3 linked regions of the Sus scrofa genome follow. The protein of the gene in region 3 binds, or shares a complex with, the protein of the main gene of each other region. Links are inferred from orthologs where the notes say so. Each region holds a gene or a part of one and is shown on either strand. Other genes may lie near its edges. The genes, in order: ERC1, PPFIBP1 and PPFIA1.

The links.
Region 1: PPFIA1 (region 3) and ERC1 share a complex: the UniProt entries of both Homo sapiens proteins name them as parts of the cortical microtubule stabilization complex. The link is inferred for Sus scrofa from reciprocal best matches to the Homo sapiens genes PPFIA1 and ERC1.
Region 2: PPFIA1 (region 3) and PPFIBP1 share a complex: the UniProt entries of both Homo sapiens proteins name them as parts of the cortical microtubule stabilization complex. The link is inferred for Sus scrofa from reciprocal best matches to the Homo sapiens genes PPFIA1 and PPFIBP1.

What each region holds. Positions count from the first base shown.
Region 1 is NC_010447.5:68,251,159-68,254,809, forward strand, and holds part of ERC1 (ELKS/Rab6-interacting/CAST family member 1), read left to right. Parts: intron 1-719; 5' UTR 720-874; coding exon 875-1,543; intron 1,544-3,651. UniProt on the Homo sapiens protein: Regulatory subunit of the IKK complex. Probably recruits IkappaBalpha/NFKBIA to the complex. May be involved in the organization of the cytomatrix at the nerve terminals active zone (CAZ) which regulates neurotransmitter release.
Region 2 is NC_010447.5:46,037,874-46,041,524, forward strand, and holds part of PPFIBP1 (liprin-beta-1), read right to left. Parts: intron 235-3,651; coding exon 112-234; intron 1-111. UniProt on the Homo sapiens protein: May regulate the disassembly of focal adhesions. Did not bind receptor-like tyrosine phosphatases type 2A.
Region 3 is NC_010444.4:3,081,840-3,085,490, reverse strand, and holds part of PPFIA1 (liprin-alpha-1), read left to right. Parts: intron 1-657; coding exon 658-833; intron 834-928; coding exon 929-1,026; intron 1,027-3,651. UniProt on the Homo sapiens protein: May regulate the disassembly of focal adhesions. May localize receptor-like tyrosine phosphatases type 2A at specific sites on the plasma membrane, possibly regulating their interaction with the extracellular environment and their association with substrates.

The sequences.
Region 1 (3,651 bases), on a different chromosome or scaffold from region 3:
TAGGGAGTGTCTTCCTTTGTTCTTCTGTTTCAGATTGTTTTCGTTACTGTTTTACCTTACCTCTTCTGTTTGAATTTTCGAGTTAGCCGGTTATGAAGGATGCCGTAGAAATTTTCATTGGCCTGTGAAGTGGTTGGGGAAGAACTGACACCTTTACAGTGTTTGTCTTTTCATCCTTGAACATGGATAACTTTCCTTTTGTTCAGGAAAGTTTTATGGTTTTTTTACAAAAATTATTGAACATTTTTGTTAGATTGATATCAAAGTGTTTTTATGGTTTTGTTGCTATTTAAAAAATGCATTTTCTAATTATTATTACTGATGTACAGGAAAGTATTGATATTTATGTATTGGTCTGTACCTAAGCAGTTGGTTGAGTTCTGTTATTGGTTCTAATAACTCGTCAGTTGATGATGTTGGGTTTTCCAGTTAGAAAATCGTATATTCACACATTGACTATTTTTTTCTTTTCCTTGCTAATCTTTATACCTCTTATTTCTTTTTCTTTTCCATTTGCTTGGTTTGGTTTCAATATTCAGTTTTGAGACATGGTGGATGTTTTTAGAGTGATGTTTACTGAGAAATAAGTTGTGCTCTGAACAAATGCATGAGTAAACATGATTAAAGGGGAGCTATTCCTCAAGTGGGGTCAGTTAAAAGTGTCTGAGAAGGGAAATGTTTCTTATTGGAGGAGTTAATGTGTGATCTTTTCATTGCAGATAATGGCGTAAGCTATTTCTTCAAGATTGGACAGCTGAGGACCTGTTATTTCTGATTAGCCTTAAGCGGACTTACAGCCATAGAGAAACCTCAGAGAGTTCCATATTTTGGTTTTGCTTTACACTTGTCCTGGCACCTGAATTCACTTGCAACCATGTATGGAAGTGCTCGCTCAGTTGGGAAGGTGGAATCAAGCAACCAGAGCCCTGGGCGTTCACCTAGGCTTCCACGTTCCCCTCGCTTGGGTCATCGTCGAACCAATAGTACAGGAGGGAGTTCTGGAAGCAGTGTCGGAGGTGGCAGTGGGAAAACCCTTTCAATGGAGAATATTCAATCCTTGAATGCTGCCTATGCCACTTCTGGCCCTATGTACCTAAGTGACCATGAAAATGTGGGTTCAGAAACACCTAAAAGCACCATGACACTTGGCCGATCTGGAGGACGTCTGCCTTATGGTGTGAGGATGACTGCCATGGGCAGTAGCCCCAATATAGCGAGCAGTGGGGTTGCTAGTGACACTATCGCATTTGGAGAGCATCACCTCCCTCCTGTGAGCATGGCATCTACCGTTCCTCACTCTCTTCGTCAGGCAAGAGATAATACAATCATGGATCTTCAGACACAGCTGAAGGAAGTATTAAGAGAGAATGATCTCTTGCGAAAGGATGTAGAAGTAAAGGAGAGCAAATTAAGTTCTTCAATGAATAGCATCAAGACCTTCTGGAGCCCAGAGCTGAAGAAAGAACGAGCCCTGAGAAAAGATGAAGCTTCCAAAATCACTATTTGGAAGGAACAGTATAGAGTTGTGCAGGAGGAAAACCAGGTTGGTTTTATATGTGTTTGCCTTTACGTGCTCTGAATAAGTGAAACTGAATTCATGTGTGTAAATGAAATGAGCTATTCTTTTTCTTTTCTTTCTGAGGTTTTTCCCTTCTTGGCTCATTTATTTTCCTTTTTCCTGTTATTCTTAGTATTTTATGTTCTCTGTGTCTCAGCCTTTTCCAAATTGGTTCTGTGCCTTAATTGTTTTCTGGTTGCTCACCATACTTGCATTTCTTTTCCCTAGCTTCTCTTTCTCTTCTTTTCCTTCAGCATATATTACCTTTTTGAAATCTTGTGAGAATGTAATTTTCCTACATGCTCTAAGGTCTGTCGTCAAAATTATTCAGGCTGTGGAATTCCCGTCATGGCTCAGCGGCAATGAAGCTGACCAGCATCCATGAGGACACAGGTTCGATCCCTGGCCTTGCTCAGTGGGTTAGGGATCCGGCATGGTATAGGTCGCAGATGCAGCTCAGATCCTTAGTTGCTGTGGCTATGTTGTAGTCAGGCTCCGATTGGACCCCTGGCCTGGGAACCTGCATGTGCCTCGGGTGTGGCCCTAAAAAGACAAAAAAAAAAAAAATTATTCAGGCTATGTAATTTAAGTGTGCGGTGTAGTATTAAGATTTACCTTTGTAAATATTTTAAAAAATCTTAAACTATCACAAGGCAGATTCATATGTTGACAGTATAGAATGGATATTAGTTAAAAGTTAATATTAATGGTGTAAATATGTATTAAGTACCAAAAATGAGTAGCAGTTCTTTCACATTTATGAAGTTTAACTTCAGGATCCTTTTTTTTTTTTTCTTTTTTAAGAATTTTTTATTTCTTCAAATTTAAGGATTTAGGGTGGAAGAAAGGCAACTTGGTGTGATTGATTATATGTAAAATATAAAGTGGATTTTGGTAGGAGTTGAATGTTAAATTGAGGTTATTAAATTCATCATTGGATTAAGTAGCCTCCAAAGTACCTTTGTGATGCTGCTGAAAATATTCCTATCACCAGGATGGTTTTTATTATCAAGCAACTTGGAAATATTCATTTTAATGAGGAAAAAAATACTGGCTTCTTTATTTTCAAGTAATTCAGGCAGCTAATTATGCCTATACTTTAAAAGATCTGTGAATAAAAAGCAATGGCAATAACCTCTCTAATTACCAAGCTACATTCAAAGGCAAAATATTGGAGTCTTCTGTAAAGACTATGGTGGGGACTCAGCAGTTCAATCCAGGGGAAGGGAAACAGTCCGCAGGGCTATGATGCCAAAAAACCATATGCACTGAGGGAGGGTGAACACTGCTTTATCTAGATTCCGCCCCTTGCCCTAATTAAATACTAGTGCTGGCAGGAATAGATGCTTCCTGCACCCACTGTAATTACCACACAATCCTAAAATTGTATCACTTTGGTCCAAAAAACGAAGGGTGCAATTTTAAAGCAAAGTGAAACACTGCAATGAGATATAGAGAACTGAGAATGCTAATTAATAGATTATAGTGAGCCAGCAGTGGGCCCTAATTAAACTCTGCATTCATTACACCCTCCACAGCCCTCAGAGGTCAGACATTTTCCACTTTACAGAGAAGATTGGTTTAATAGGATTTACAGTAATTAAACAAATTTCCCCATTTCAGTTTGAGATCGGGGATTTAGATACATTCTAAATGTTTGATTTGATTGGACCATAGAGATCTTGTCTAGAATCCTATCAAATGAAAAATACACCTGTGCTTAGAATGTCTAATGTGCCTGATTCATTATTATGAAGTCCTTTTAGAAGATTCTTTCTAAAATAAATATCCATCTATTTTTATGTTTCATACTACTTTTGTTACTGAACTTTCAAATACTGGTGGTTGGAGAAATGGAACAATATATGTTTTAGCAGGTAAGGTCTTTTTTTTTTTTTTTTTTTTTTGAAACTGACAATGGGGAGGGCTATTTTTTAAATTTTTTTCTTTTTCCAGGTCTGTACACATGGCATATGGAAGTTCCCAGGCTAGGGGTTGAATCTGAGCTACAGCTGCCAGCCTACACCACAGCCACAGTCACAGCAAGTCAAGATCCAAGTGCATCTGTGATAGCTCACGAAATGGAATGCCAG
Region 2 (3,651 bases), on a different chromosome or scaffold from region 3:
CAGATGCTTTACTTCCCCAGGTTCCAAGAGGAAACAGGTCTTTGCCTCCATACATGGACAGGCATGTGCATGGTAAGTGCATGCTGTGTAAACCTTGACCTCAGATGCTACCTCATCAGACGGCCGCCTCCGTAGACAGTTTGGTTCAAAGTTATTGATCCTCAGGACCTGGATGGCCCTTTTGATGCTGAGATGATGGAGCACACTTACAACTTTCAGAGACAGTAAGTCATCCTACAAAACAAAACAAAATGAGGAGTTCTCTGAGCAGGAGAACCTTCTTAGGGACATCTCAGAAAACTCAAGGTAAAGTAGAAGAGCCCCTCCACTGATAGGCCCCCAAGGGCTTGTCAGCATTTTCAAAGCTTTTCTTTAGGAACAGAACCCTTTTTCCTGTTCTGAACAAAATTTTCTCCAGGACCCCAACATAAATGAAAACCAAAATTCATGTTGTTCCAACTGAAGCTAATTTCTACCTGTTTCTCTCGTCTACTGAGATAGGATCATGGGACTGAACAGCTTTGAAAAGCACAGTTTGGAAAGCACTCCCAGGAGTTCCCTGGTGACTCAGGGAGTTAAGGACTGAGCGCTGTCACTGCTGTGGCTCGGATTGCTGGTGTGGCACAGGTTCAATCCCTGGCCTGGGAAATTCCCCATGCTGTGGGTGCAGCCAAAGAAAGAAAGGAAGGAAGGAAGGAAGGAAGGAAGGAAGGAAGGAAGGAAGGAAGAAAGAAAGAAAGAAAGAAAGAAAGAAAGAAAGAAAGAAAGAAAGAAAGAAAGAAAGAAAGAAAGAAAGAAAAGCACTCCTTGGTTGTCAAGGGGGAGGGAGGAGAAAGTGGGATGGACGGGGAGTTTGTGGGTGGTAGTTCAAACTATTACATTTAGAATGGATAAGCAATGAGGTTCTATTATATTCACTCTCTTGAGGTAGAACATTTTGGAAGGATAGTATTAGAAGAAAAATGTATATATATATATGTATGATTGTGTCACTTTGCTACACAGCAGAAATCGACACAACACAATCAACTATATTCTAATAAAAATTAAAAAAGAAAAAAAAGCACTCCCTGGGTCACCACAGAAAGTAACCTGCTTTGATTTGATTTGATGAAGCAGATAACTGAGAGCTGGGATGATCACTGATGAGTTGGTTTTCTGAGCTCAGGCACATCACAGTTTGGGGGAAAAGTGGAAGATTGCTTCTGTGATATTAACCCCCCAGACTCAAGAAATCTCTGCTTCTAGATTATAGTGTTTTATTGATAAGAGGTTTGGAATAATTATATTAATCGATGCAAAGCTTTCGGTGAGAGGTAAGGACAGAAGAGAAATAAAGAAGTTGTTAAGTAGCAGCACAGATCACCAGGCGATTCCTTTAAGAAGTAACTTTCACCAAGTCTGTGGCTATTGGGAACTTTTAAAAACATACCAAACACACCAAAACAAATTATCTTAGAAAGTGATTTGGGGGCGGTAGTGTCAAGAAAAGCACTAGTCTGCTTGCAAACACACCCAGAAAATAAACAAGGAAAATATCCATTTCAGACACGCCTTACCGATAACATTTCCTGCAAGGGAAAAATTAATCTACTATAGGAATATTTTTAAAATAAAATTATAGGACAGTTTAAATCCTTAAGGCTACTAACTGAGCCTTAAAAAATGATTTCCCAAATTCTTTTCTAGATTAATTTCTTAATGTAATAATAAGTTAGAAAAGGCATTTAACTTTTTTTTTTTTTTTTTTTTTTTGTCTTTTTGTCTTTCTAGGGCTGTACCTGCGGCATATAGAGGTTCCCAGGCTAGGGGTCCAATCAGAGCTGTAGCCCCTGGCCTATGCCACAGCCACACCAGGTCCGAGCCATGTCTGTGACCTATACCACAGCTCACGGCAATGCTGGATCCTTAACCCACCGAGCGAGGCCAGGGATCGAACCTGCAACCTCATGGTTCCTAGTCAGATTTGTTTCCGCTGTGCCATGATGGGAACTCCACATTTAACATTTTTAATCTAAGATTGAGATGCACATTCAAAACATTTCCATGTGCACTATTACCAACTAATTAAAAGTCTTTCAGATTAAAAAAAATTTGAAATGCTTAAGTATTTACAATGTAAATAAGATATTAATTAGTTTAAGGGGTTTTAAAAGCAGGGGTCATTTTCTTTTAAATCAAAACACTTTAGGGGAGGGTTTTGTTTGTTTGTTTGCCTCTTCTAGGGCCACTTCTGCAGCATATGGAGGTTCCCAGGCTAGGGGTCTAATCGGAGCTGTAGCCACTGGTCTACGCCAGAGCCACAGCAACGTGGGATCCGAGCCGTGTCTGCAACCTATACCACAGCTCATGGCAACGCCAGATCCTTAACCCACTGAGCAAGGCCAGGGATCGAACCCTCAACCTCATGGTTCCTAGTAAGATTCATTAACCACTGAGCCACGACGGGAACTCCAGGGGAGGTTTTTAAAAATCTTTTAAGTAATTTTAGATTTATACAGGAGCTGCCAAAGAGAGTACAGAGACTCACAGGCCCTTCACCCAGCTTCCTCTAATGCCAACATCTTCTATAACCAGGATATTCAACAAACGAAGACATTAATACAGACAAAATCAAATTCAACTAAACCTTAGACTTTATTCAGATTTTACCAGTTTTTCCACTAGGTCCTTTTTTTTTTTTTTACTTTAAAAAAAAAGAATACTTAAAATTTCTCCATTTTTAAACATTTTTATTAAAGTATAGTTGATTTAAAGTGTTGTGTCAATTTCTGCTATACAGAAAAGTGATTCGGTTATATATACATATACTTTTTCATATTTTTTTCCATTACGGTTTATCACAGGATATTGAATATAGTTCCCTGAGCCATCTAGGATCTCGTTGTTTATCCATCCTACATACAACAGTTTGCCTCCGATAATCCTAAACTCTTAATCCATCTCTCCCTTATCCCATTTCCCCCTTCACAACCACAAGTCTGTTCTCTATGTCTGTGAGTCTGTCTCTGTTTCATAAATAAGTTAATTTGTGTTGTATTTTAGATTCTACATAGAAGTGCCAACATACGGTATTTGTCGTTCTCTTTCTGACTTATTTCATCTAGTAAGATAATCTCCAGGTCCATCCACGTTGCTACAAATGGCATTATTTCATTCTTTTTTTATGGCTGAGTAATATACAATTGTGTGTGTGTGTGTGTGTGTGTGTGTGTGTGTGTGTGTGTGTGTGTGTAGCATTTAGGTTGTTTCCATTCTTGGCTATTTTGAATAGTGCTGCCATGAATATACGGGTGCATGTGTCTTTTCAAATTTAAGTTTTATCTGGATATATGCCCAGGAATGGGCTTGCTGGATTATATGGCAGCTCCATATTTAGTTTTTTGAGGAACCTCTATATTGCTTTTCATAGTAGATGCACCAATTTATATTCCCACTAGGTCCTTTTTCTGATCCAGGATCCAAATCCAGGATACCAGATTCAAACAGACTTTCTTTGATTTTGGATTTCTGGTAATTTATTCTTTTATAGCCATGGAAGTCATACGTTTGTCTTTTGTGATTTTCAGTCTGAATTTGCTCACATTCCCACAGGAACATAGTCATCTCTAGATAGGCAGACAAATAGGTACAAATGCTGTTTGATATTCT
Region 3 (3,651 bases):
ATGACTTGTCAGCAGGGTCAGGTGGGGGCCCGTGTTGTCCAGAGCTTCTGGGTCCCTGCGCGGTTGGTTGGAGGTCGGCCTTGGCCGTTCCCGAATCTTGGCAAGAGGAGGGCTGAGGTCTCCGGCGGTGACTGTGTCCTTTCAGTCCTGTCAGTTACTGCTTCCTTCTCGCTTTTGAAACTGTTTTAATTCACGTGATGGGTTGTGAGATCAACATGTCCATGAAGGAAACAAAGTGTTAAAAATAAAGGCAGTGAGTAGGTTTGATTGATCCTTCAAACTTGTTCATGAGTCGTGATCATTCTTTGCTGGCGCATTGTCGCACATAAAAGCTATGTCAGGAGAGTAGCCTGTGGCCAGTTGCAGCTTTATTGTGGTTTGGTAAATAAGGGCAATTTATGAGCACAAATGAGCCTGGCTCTTCAATGGTAGAATCCCTTTTGTGGAAAGCTGGCACATTTGCCGGCAATTTAAAGGTGGTCAACAAGGCCCAGGATTATGTCGAAGTTGCAAACACAGCAGCCTTGTCGCCAGTGCCCTTAGCCTCTGAGAATGTGTCGTAGCTTCAAAGCCCCGTTTCAAGGTCATGTAAACAGCCCTCTGGCCGCTTCTCTGGGGCTGCTCCCCGCACTGATGGTTCTCACTTGTTGAAAGCAGACCCTGGCCTACGGGGACATGAACCACGAGTGGATCGGCAACGAGTGGCTGCCCAGCCTGGGCCTCCCGCAGTACCGCAGCTACTTCATGGAGTGCCTGGTGGACGCGCGGATGCTGGACCACCTGACCAAGAAGGACCTCCGCGGGCAGCTGAAGATGGTCGACAGTTTCCACAGGTGGGCGCCGCAGGGCCGCCTCGCCGGCTGGCTAGAGGCTGTGCCTGTTGCCGCGTCTAAAGTTTTTCTTTCTCTTTCTTTTTAATCGGAAATAGAAACAGTTTCCAGTGTGGAATTATGTGCCTGCGAAGGTTAAATTATGACCGAAAAGAACTGGAGAGAAGAAGAGAAGAAAGCCAGAATGAACTAAAAGGCTAGTATGGTCTGTTGCGTTGATCCGGCATAGTTCTTGCTTCCCAGTGTATTCGCAGCCTTGGTGATTTCCTATTTTAAAAAAAAAAGCAAATCAGGAAATGCGTTCAGTGGAGGAGACTCATCTGGCCCCCTGGAGGAGGAGGGAGGGGTAAAAGGAGTGGAGCTAGCATCCGCCTCCGCGACCAGAGAACTGGCGCCTGTGTGCGTGGGCTTATACCTCAGTCATTAGGTCAAGGTCTCAGGGTAAACACGTTCCCCACGACGTTAGAGAATTCTTGTTTGGGTGACATGCCCCGCGTCTCCCAGAGATGCTGGTACACAAAGTAGGTAACTCCAGGAGTTCCCATCGTGGTGCAGCGGAAGCGAATCTGACTAGGAACCATGAGGTTGCGGGTTCAATCCCTGGCCTCGCTCCGTGGGTTAGGGATCCGGTGTTGACGTGAGCTGTGGTGTAGGTCGCAGACGCGGCTCGGATCCCGCGTTGCTGTGGCTGTGGTGTAGGCTGGTGGCTACAGCTCTGATTAGACCCCTAGCCTGGGAACCTCCATATGCTGTGATTGCAGCCCTAGAAAAGGCAAAAAAACAAAAAACAAAACAAAGTAGGGAACTCCAGGGATGCTGGTTACATGCTGTAGGTAGCTCCAGAGATGCTGGCACACGCTGTAGGTAAGGTAGCTCCCGAGATGCTGGCGCACGCCGCAGGGAACTCCAGGGATGCTGGTGACACACTGTAGGGAACTCCAGAGCCGAGTACAGGATCCTGCTGGTCTCTCTTGATTCTTCTCTCTTTGTGTACCCAAAATGCGTTCATTGGGATCATTTCTCCATCCATCTTGATGCCGGGAGCTTTTAGGGCTGCTTCCGTCTGAAGGTGCATCCTTCTGTCGCCTCGCTTTTCCTCCCGTGGGCTGGCAGAGGACCCACTCTGCTGTCTGTGCCTGTGGCCGAGGACGGAGTGTAGAGCATCTCGTGCTTCCTCGTCTCCTCTGGAGACGGATGGAGGGCATCCTTTGCGAGAGGCGCCTTCTCGAGGGAGGTCCTCCCGCCGCAGAGGGCACTCCCTTGATGTCACCGTGAACAGTGCTCCTCTGGCCATTTGTCTGCGGACTCGAGGAGCACGGAGGACAGGGAGCTCTGCTCCCAGGCTGGAGGGACGGGCCTTGGAGGCAGATGGGCTGTCCTTCGCCGGGGAGGGCCAGGCGTCTCGGTTAGAAGCGGGACGTGGGTGTGGGAGGACCGACCGGGAGGCGGGGTGCTCGTCTCACTCCCTGTGCCTCTGAATGGGATGAGCCAGTGCAGGGGAGCCTTCGACACCGGCTCAGAATGGAACCTCCTGCTCCCTGGGGCTCAGGTGAAGGGTCCGGCCCGGACCCTGCTAGGGCGCAGGTTCGATCCCTGGCCTGGGAACTGCCACATGCCATGGGTGTGGCCCAAAAAGTGAAACCTCCCAGAATTTTCAGAAAATAAAGGAATCACTAATGATAGTGATAGCAATACTTATTGAACCACTGTGGGCACTGTCATAGGTTACTTTCTTTGATCCGTACGCAGCCCTGTGAGGGTGTGTGATGGTTTCATCCCTGGTTTTTACTAAGAAATTAAAGGTGAAAATTTAATGGCTGCAGAGATGGCCCATTTGAAGGCCGGTCTGGTCGTGACTGAGTTACGGGGAAGCGTGAGAAAAGCCAGTAGCCAGCATTCATGCCGTGTGTGCCTTTGTCTAGAGAAGCGTTTGGAGATGATGTGTGTGAAGCTGTTTCACTTGTTTCCCAGATCCCCCTTTTTTTTTGGCTTCTCTAGGGCTGCACCCACGGCACATGGAGCTTCCCAGGCTAGGGGTCGAATCCGAGCTGTAACCGCCAGCCTACACCACAGCCACAGCGACTCAAGCTCCGAGCCACGTCTGCGACCTACACCACAGCTCACGGCAACACCAGATCCTCAACCCACTGAGCAAGGCCAGGGATCAGACCTGCATCCTCATGGATACTAGTCAGGTTCTTAACCCGCTGAGCCACAGTGGGAACTCCAGGCTTCACAATTATAAATGAAAGGTTTGTGCTGAATTGAGCAAGCTGTCCTGACATAGTGCCAACTCTTGATGACGGGAACAAAGTGTATGGGAGTCTGTATCTGAGCCATGTTCGTGCCTGATGGGCATTCACTTTTTTTTTTTTTTGTCCTTTTGTCTTTTTAGGGCTGCACCCAAGGCATATGGAGGTTCCCAGGCTTGGGGTCCATGTGGAGCTGTAGCCACCGGCCTACGCCACGGCCACAGCAACGCCAGATCCTTAGCCCGCTGAGCGAGGCCAGGGATCCAACCTGCGTCCTCACGGACGCTCGTCGGGTTCGTTCACTGCTGAGCCACGACGGGGCCTGGCGGGCATTCACCTTCTTATGTGTCCTTCCGTCCCTGACCCCTGGATCCTCGTCCTGAAGGTGAACGGGGTAATGACGTCGTTTCTCCTGGGCTCACGCGGAGGACGAACAGCTTCCGCTCGGATAGAAACGGGCCGAGCCCGGTGTGTAAGCGCCGGAGGGCTGGTGCGCCCGCCCGCAGGGCCTCCCCGCCCTTGTGGAGTCGCGTCGTGGTCGGGAGCCGGGGGCTGCGGGCACGTGGGCG